Linked DNA regions of Caenorhabditis elegans. The protein of the gene in region 2 interacts with the protein of the main gene of each other region in a pairwise test. Each region holds a gene or a part of one and is shown on either strand. Other genes may lie near its edges.

Evidence for each region.
Region 1: the proteins of M05D6.2 (region 2) and Y13C8A.1 interact in a two-hybrid assay, tested with the Caenorhabditis elegans proteins (one large-scale study listed by BioGRID).

What each region holds. Positions count from the first base shown.
Region 1 is NC_003284.9:16,881,983-16,885,151, reverse strand, and holds Y13C8A.1 (uncharacterized protein), read right to left. Parts: upstream 1,427-3,169; coding exon 1,288-1,426; intron 750-1,287; coding exon 679-749; downstream 1-678.
Region 2 is NC_003280.10:8,466,261-8,470,843, reverse strand, and holds M05D6.2 (T-complex protein 11-like protein 1), read right to left. Parts: upstream 2,736-4,583; 5' UTR 2,722-2,735; coding exon 2,429-2,721; intron 2,382-2,428; coding exon 2,279-2,381; intron 2,235-2,278; coding exon 2,162-2,234; intron 2,115-2,161; coding exon 1,964-2,114; intron 1,918-1,963; coding exon 1,402-1,917; intron 1,348-1,401; coding exon 1,069-1,347; intron 1,015-1,068; coding exon 864-1,014; 3' UTR 682-863; downstream 1-681. Other genes in the region: M05D6.8 (ShKT domain-containing protein), read left to right, coding at 1-80, 389-480, 576-672; F22B5.10 (Calcium load-activated calcium channel homolog), read right to left, coding at 3,040-3,210, 3,281-3,670; fars-3 (Phenylalanine--tRNA ligase beta subunit), read right to left, coding at 3,896-3,981, 4,028-4,096, 4,148-4,583.

The DNA.
Region 1 (3,169 bases), on a different chromosome or scaffold from region 2:
GTGGTTCTTGCCTTCTCCCGATCCAACCATTCTGATCCATTCCGATCCATTCCGATCCATTCCTATCCATCCATCCTGTTCGTCGTCGCCGCTTTTATCGTAGATCTGTAAAAAATCAGTTTAGCTGAAGCATCATTTAAATCTTTCCTTACCATTCAGATCCTTTGTTGTCCTTGTCGTTGTCGTCCTTGTCCTTGCTCTCGCCTTCTCCCGATCCAACCATGCCAATCCTTTGTTGTTGTCGTCGTTGTCGTCGTCGTCGTCGTTGTTCTCGCCATCACCCGATGCCATCCATCCCAATCCATCCCGATCCATCCCGATCCATCCCGATCCATCCCGATCCATCCCGATCCATCCCGATCCATCCCGATCCATCCCGATCCATCCCGATCCATCCCGATACATCCCGATACATCCCAATCCATCCCGATCCATCCCGATCCATCCAGAGCCATCCCGATCCATTCCAATCCATCCCAATCCATCCCGATGCATCCCGATCCATCCCAATCTATCCCGATCCATCCCGATCCATTCCGATCCATCTTCATCCATCCCGAGTCTATCCAGAATCCATCCCGTTCACCGAACCCGATCGTCGCATTCGAATCTATCGTTCCATCTCGATCCATCCCGATCCATCGTCGCTCGAGATCTTGAGTGAGATCTCGTTCCAATTCAACTCCATACTATCGCCACCTTTTGTCCATGTCTTCTTTCCGTCGTCGTTCGTTCCTTCTTCTTCTGTTCTGTAAAAAAACACTTTTATAATTACCGGAAATAATGATTCTGATAAGAAAGTTGTTCACATGGGGCCGTATATTCGAAAAGTGTGCTCCTGGGAAGTAGAAGAGCACGCGGTCAGCTCTCCCCCCCCCCCCCCCCCCCACTTCATCAGAAGGCCTTTTGGGCCTTCTGGGAAGAATGCCGAGGGGAAATTCATTCGGTCGGGGTATTCCGGATTGGCCCCGCCCACAAAACCGTGCCTTGTAAAACGATGTTTTCCATTTCCAAACCGTGTGATAGTTGCGGAAAACACATGTTTGTAAGGCACATTTTGTGGCCGGAGCCATTCCGAAATACCCGACCAAATGAATCCACTGAAATCTTTAGCTCTTGGCTTTTTTGTAAATCCTGAATTTTCAGAAATTTTTATTCAGGATTTTTTAAAAAGAAAAATTCGGGTTTGGCAAAAAAAATTGATTCCAATTTTTTGGAATCTTTGGTTTTTGAGAACTAAATTTGGGATTTTTGAATCAAAAATGTTAAAAATAAACAAAATCTTACGTCTTACGGTCGTCCTTTTTCTGCTCTTTGCTGTTGCTTGGTGATTATGCAGGTGGTGACGATAGCTTTGAATAGGAGTTGCTTCTTCATGTGATGCTCTACACCGTAAGAACTGCACATCATCACCCAAGTATTCCATAGAGCAAGAACCGCCCGATCGTATCGCAGTATGGGCCCAACATCGGTTCTCATTGTTCGTTAGGAACAGAAGTACTAGCATGATGTTGGTCATTAGCCTTTATTCGCTACCTCTGAATACGGTGTATGATGTGTTTAAGCCTCAATTCCGATCTCCCGTTTCAGACAGTTGTCTTAGCGGTGTTATATTTAAACTTCTGTTTGTAGAAGTTTGATACTAAATGAGAAAATGATTGAGAAACTTCTGATTTCAGAAGTTTCGTAATAACTTTCCAACAAAGACGGGGGGGGGGGGGAAAGAGAGAGGGATGTAGCAGTGTCCATTGATTGTCCGACGCACGAGAGACTGTTCCAGTAATAGTTCCAGAGAATCCATCCATCGTTCGATCCGTCGATCCATGTTCAAACACAAAGGGGAGCATGCATAACATAACAGGTGTAGGGATTTGGGAAGGGATTGGGATGAGAAGAAAAGAGAAGGAAAGTTGGAAAGCGTACTTCTTCTAGAATAATTATTCTAGAAGTCGAGTGAAAATTAAGTAAAAGTCGAGAAGAGTCGAAGAATCTCTTTTCTTTGAATTTTTTTGTTGTTTTTTTTTGTTGAAAAAAGGTTTTTTTTATTTATACAAATTTAGATCGGAAATCCGCTTCAAACACGATCAACTCAGGACAAAAAAGGAGTGCTAGTAGCGAAACCAGCTAAATACAACAGAGCATGGTTTCCTTAACTGTTCCAGAACACGAGCCCCTAAATCGGACTGCGGACCTGGTTTGTCAAGCAAGGAGCACATCTACAGAGTGGGATGTACTCACAAGAAGGGGGTATAAGCAAAAAGGAGTGAATGACAGAAAAACAATTGGGAAGTTGGATGAACGAAGACCCGGCGTTTCCCCTGAGCAAAGAAAGAGAGAGCGTGATAGAGGCGGAGACACAGACAGGAGGGAGACCATTACAGATCGTCTCCTATAGAAGGCTGCCGGCAGGGGGCGTTGTGGACCTGTGGGAAGAAGGGAAGAAGGGGGGAGACGACCGCACGGGCTATAAATGGGTACCTGGCCGTAATCTCAAAAACGAGCACAGTAAAGTATATTTTTAGTTAATTTCCTGAAAGAAAACAGTAAAAAAGATTGTTTAATGCAATTAAACCAATCTTTGGATATAGTTTTATTTAGAAACTTTTAATTTTACCAAGATTTTTTGAGTTAGTACTGAATTTCATTGGTTTCTATTAAGTTCTACGAATAATTTAAAATGCTTAAAGCCCAGGCTCTGTGAGTAATTATGTTAAATAAACTAATTTGACACATTTGAACAAAGCCGGACAAAACAATTTTTAGCCAAATATCTCAAATAGAGTTTCGAAAAAAATTGGAAAAATTGAGTTTGAATTTTGATGAAACTTTTTGAAATCAGTTAATTGGTATATTCCCCATATCAAACCCATTCAAAATCTATGATTGTTACTGAAAATTTGCAAAAATTGAAGCATTTTTCAGTTCAAACAGTAGGTATAATATGAAAAATGTTACATCTCAAAGAAAAAACATTTGTTGAAAAAATATCAAAAACCTTTTTAATTTTACTTTCAGAAAATATATTTTAAACTCCTGTAGCTGATCAGGTTCGAAAGTTTTGTCAGTCTTGACCACAGGTACCCTTTTACTGCCCGTGTTTTTTTTTAATTTCTGTTTAGATAGCTTGAGAATTTGGAAAGTTTTACATTGGATAAGCAACTACGAGTTT
Region 2 (4,583 bases):
CAAAACCAATTAATTGTTATGATATCTCGAAAAGATGCTCCAAAGTGAAGCCATTGTGCACGCGAAACGAGTATAAGACTGTAAGTTTTAAACACAAAATATGAAAATTAAAGCAAATGGTTTTCTTGGGTTTGTAATCCAAATTTATTCAGTAGTAATTGGGGAAGTTGAGCATAATAATATTGGTAAAGAATAAGACTTCACTTTAAATGTACGCGATAGCTTTTTCGATGGGCCTTGCCACGATGTAGGAACTTTTGTAGCAACTAATACCAAACTTCACAGCACTGTTCATAAAACGGAAGAGCTGAATTTATGAAAAATTTTAATAATTTAGAGTGCTCAAGAGGAAAAAATGAGTTTTGAAAAACATGTATTATTATTTCAGATAATGATGCGTCAATGTGCTAAAACATGTGGTTTCTGCCCCCAATTTGTTCGTCTTCCACAAACATCTCGTTGTCGTGACTCGTTTCAGAGGTATAAATCGAAAAATATAGCTATTAGAAAATGCTTTTAAATATGTAGTTGTAGAAATTAATGAACTATTCCATAATTCGACCTTTCCTTTCAAGCTGTCCAAAATGGGCTCGAAATGGCTTCTGTCACTCCACTTATTACACGTTGGACGAGAGGAAGACTTACTGTTTGAAAAGTTGTGGAGGTTGTTGAACAACGAGCACTCACTCACCAATTCATGTAAATAATTGAACATATATATGAAACCAAATAATTAATGCTGACATATATAAATGATAACCATCAGAAGCATGAGATTATGTCACAAAGCATATTGAAGATCGGAATTTGGAACTTTACAGTAATAACAAGTGGCAAATATTTCAGATTTTTTGTTCTGTGAATTAGGCAGATGTGCTAGGACCAGGCATAGAAGAGGGACTATCAGCACGATAGATTGCATGCGTCGAAGGAGTATGTCCTTGAAACTCCTGGATGAGGTTGGAATACATCGCGTAAAATGTCTTCCGGTTGTGGACACAGAGACGAAGGAATCTGTAAAATTTGCATAATTTCACAAACAACTTTCTCATTCTTCAATTAGCTTACTTCGATGTGAAAGCACACAATTCAGATTGAATCACAGAAAGACCTGGAAGTAGGCGATGTGGAACAGAAGTTGGACTTCGGAGCATTTCTTCAACAAATGTGGAAACTCTGGTATGAACCAGCTTTCTGATAGGATTATCTGAGCTGATCAGTGCGTTGATTTGGTTTCGAATAGATGTTGAGCTTTCAGTATTCCATTCGATATTCAGCTTCTTCGACGTGTCGACTGCCTCTTTCACACATTGCTCACCGATTTTCTCGAGATCGGATTTTATTCGTCTGAAATAATATTTTATTGTATATGGTCTTTGAATAAAAATCAAAGCGACTCACTCTTCGTCTGTATTATTTGTGATTACAATCAAATGATCTTTTAATGTTTTCTTGAAATCTGCACTTTCAGAAATTTGTTTCCCTGCTACATTGCATGTGACGAATACAGATGATGCACACATAACAATTTGCAAAAACTTTTCCGCAAGCAATTCAATCTTGATTTTGTCGATTTTCAAAGTTTCCGGAAATCCATCATATTCATTGACTTGAATTAACTTAGTATAACCTCGACTTGTAGTATCAATTAAGACTGTATCTGTATCTTCATTTTTTCTCTCTTTTTTCACTGATGTCTCCTCTCCTTCAGCATCTAATTTTTTCTCAAACAACTCGTCATATGCAGCTTTCAGCCACTGTCTGGCAAAATAACATCCGTTCGGATTCTCAATCAGAAATTTCTGAAACATGTCATATTCGTGTTTTGATGAGTATTCCTCGATGGCCGCACGGTTCTGTGATATTTGATAGTTGGTTAAATCATTTTTCATTAGCTCCAGAAGATCCATCGTTCCTCTGAAACAAAATAGAAAATATTTCTCTCCATTTATTTTCTGCTCACTCGAAAATATCAATAACGTCAGTTCTGGTCCTTAATTCGGCAACTTTCACATCTCGGGCTGGAGAGCACAGTCTTGAGCATAAGTCAACAATATATTTCATCACTTTCTTGATATCAAGCTGGCCTTGGTCTAACTTGCCACGTAGAGCAGCTGAAAAAATTTAAACTTAAAAAAAAAAAAATAAAAATTGAATTTACTTTCGTCAAGCATCGAGTTGATTTCAGCTTTTAAACGTGTATGTTGGGCAGTTAAAATGTCATCCAGAATCATCTGAAAATTGAAATTTTATTTTAAAAATTCATATAACATCTTACAGTTTTGACTTCCATCAGAAAACTGAAACAGTACTCCAGTTCAGGAGGATCTTTGGCAAGATCCCGGCGTAGCTGATTGTAGTAGGCCTTGTGCATTGATTCTCTGAAAATTTTAATTTATTTAATTGAAATAAATAAGGAGTTTCTCACTGAACACATCGTTGAATTGCATTTGTTGGTTTATCGGGAATTTGAAAATTAGGATCGATTGCAATTTCATGAACCAACTCCATATTTTCTAATTCATTTGTCATTTTCATCAATTCTTCATGACTGACAAACTTTGCTGGTGATCCTCCAGCCACCCATGGTGGAAGCGATGGAGTATTTTTCGATTCTTGAGCTCCAGGAATTGGTACAGGCTGCGGTGAGACATGCCGTTTTCTGCTCTTTTTGTCTTCTGATCCAGAGGGACTATTCGGTCTTTTTTCTTCGTCACTCATTTTTCTGTATTTCACTGAAAATGTTAAAGTATCCAAAATTTTTCGTGGAATACAATTTCCAAATATTCCAGAGATTTAAACCCGGAAATAACATAGAAAAAATGAATTACAGAACTTGGTATTCATTATCACAACATACGAATATATTTCATTCCAGTAAAATCATTGAGAAACGAATGATTGAGCAGCACACAGAAGTTGAAACTTACAGAATAAATATGATTTTTGATTGAAAATTTTGGGAAGAGAAAGAAAATAAATAGTGCTTATTATCAGAGATAGGTTTCACATGAGTTGAAAGTGAAAGTTTTACTTAAATTAACGGAGATAGTTCATTTGGGAGTTTGGTGGAGCCCATGGTGAGGACTGTTGGCGAGCCATAGCGCGAGATGGTGCGAATCCAAGGATTTTTTGGAGATTTTGACGAACGGTCATGGTACAGAGAATATAAAGGAAAATGAACGAACAATCAGTCATGTCTTCGCCAATCTGAAAAAATAAAGTAATAAAAACCGAGTTTACTACATGCTATCAGAGTTTTTTTTCAAACGATGCTTACCAAGTTTCTATGAGAAAGACCCTGGATGAATCCAATTGGATAGAATGGAAGTTTGGCGACAACACGTCCTTCAAAAATCGAGTTGAATGTAGACAAGAGTGCAGTGAACGCGAGTCCAATCGCGAACATTGATTTCATCTTGAACATGCTCATATCTCTGTTAGTTGCCTTTAATCGTTCTTCTTCTCTCTCAAGCTTTCTTTTGATATTTTTATCATTGGTGTCCCCGACTTCTTGCTTCTTCTTCTCTAATTTCTTCGTCTTCTTGTCCATATCAGCTTTCAGTCTTTTGTAGTGATCGGATCTATACACAAGAAGCCATGTGATACCTTCACCGGCAAGGGCAGTTCCGAACGCGATCGCAATAATCAGGAGGCAATCACCCAACATCTTTAATTACAGTTTTTAAATACGAGACACATAGAATTTTTGAGTAGATAAAACCACGGATGAAACCGAGAGACAATGAAATAACCAATATGAAAACTCTTAGTTGAAACATTTTAATTAAAGAAAAACAGCAAGCATGAAATATTTAAAAACCACATTTCAGAGGAAAAATCCATAAATAATCGCAATAACAAAACCAAAAACCGGGAAGTAACAAAAATATGTTTAAAGGAATGGTTCCACATTGATTTCGACAGCTCCACATGGCAATGTGAGCCCGAAGGAGGTGATAACTTCTGGATGGAGAGCTCCTAAAATATTAAATATTAAAAGGATGTCATTTTAAATATGACTTGCCGATATGTCCGAGAACGACTCCCTTTGGACCGATAATCTTGGCACACCGTCCTGGGAAGTAGGTTGAATCTGAAAAAGTAGCATATTTCAATTATAAGGACTCATAAATACAAATCTTACTTTCATCGGCTTCGATGTAGTATCCAGTTCCGTCGCGCGCAGGATTGACATTTAGCATTCTCATAATTCGATCCAAGAATCCTTGAATAATCTCGAAACCAGCAGCTCTATTGTAGTACACTGCAGCAAGTCTTCTCTCATTTCTTGCTCCAACATCTGTATTTGAGTCTTTCACAATAACATCTTGAAGCTCAAACAATTTCAATGGGAGTGGCATGTCTCGGTTGGAAGACAGTGTTTTCAAAAGTCCGGGAAGAAGGGATGTTCGAGCAACTTGGAATTCAAGAGTTTTTGGATTTCCAATATGAACTGCATGAGAAAGTGCATCTGGCTGGCGGAGCTTTGAAGAAATGTCGTCACGGCTGCACAATGCGAAGTTCAAAGCTTCTGTCCATCCAGCGGCAGCAATTTCGATCCGGAGATTATCGCAGAGCTT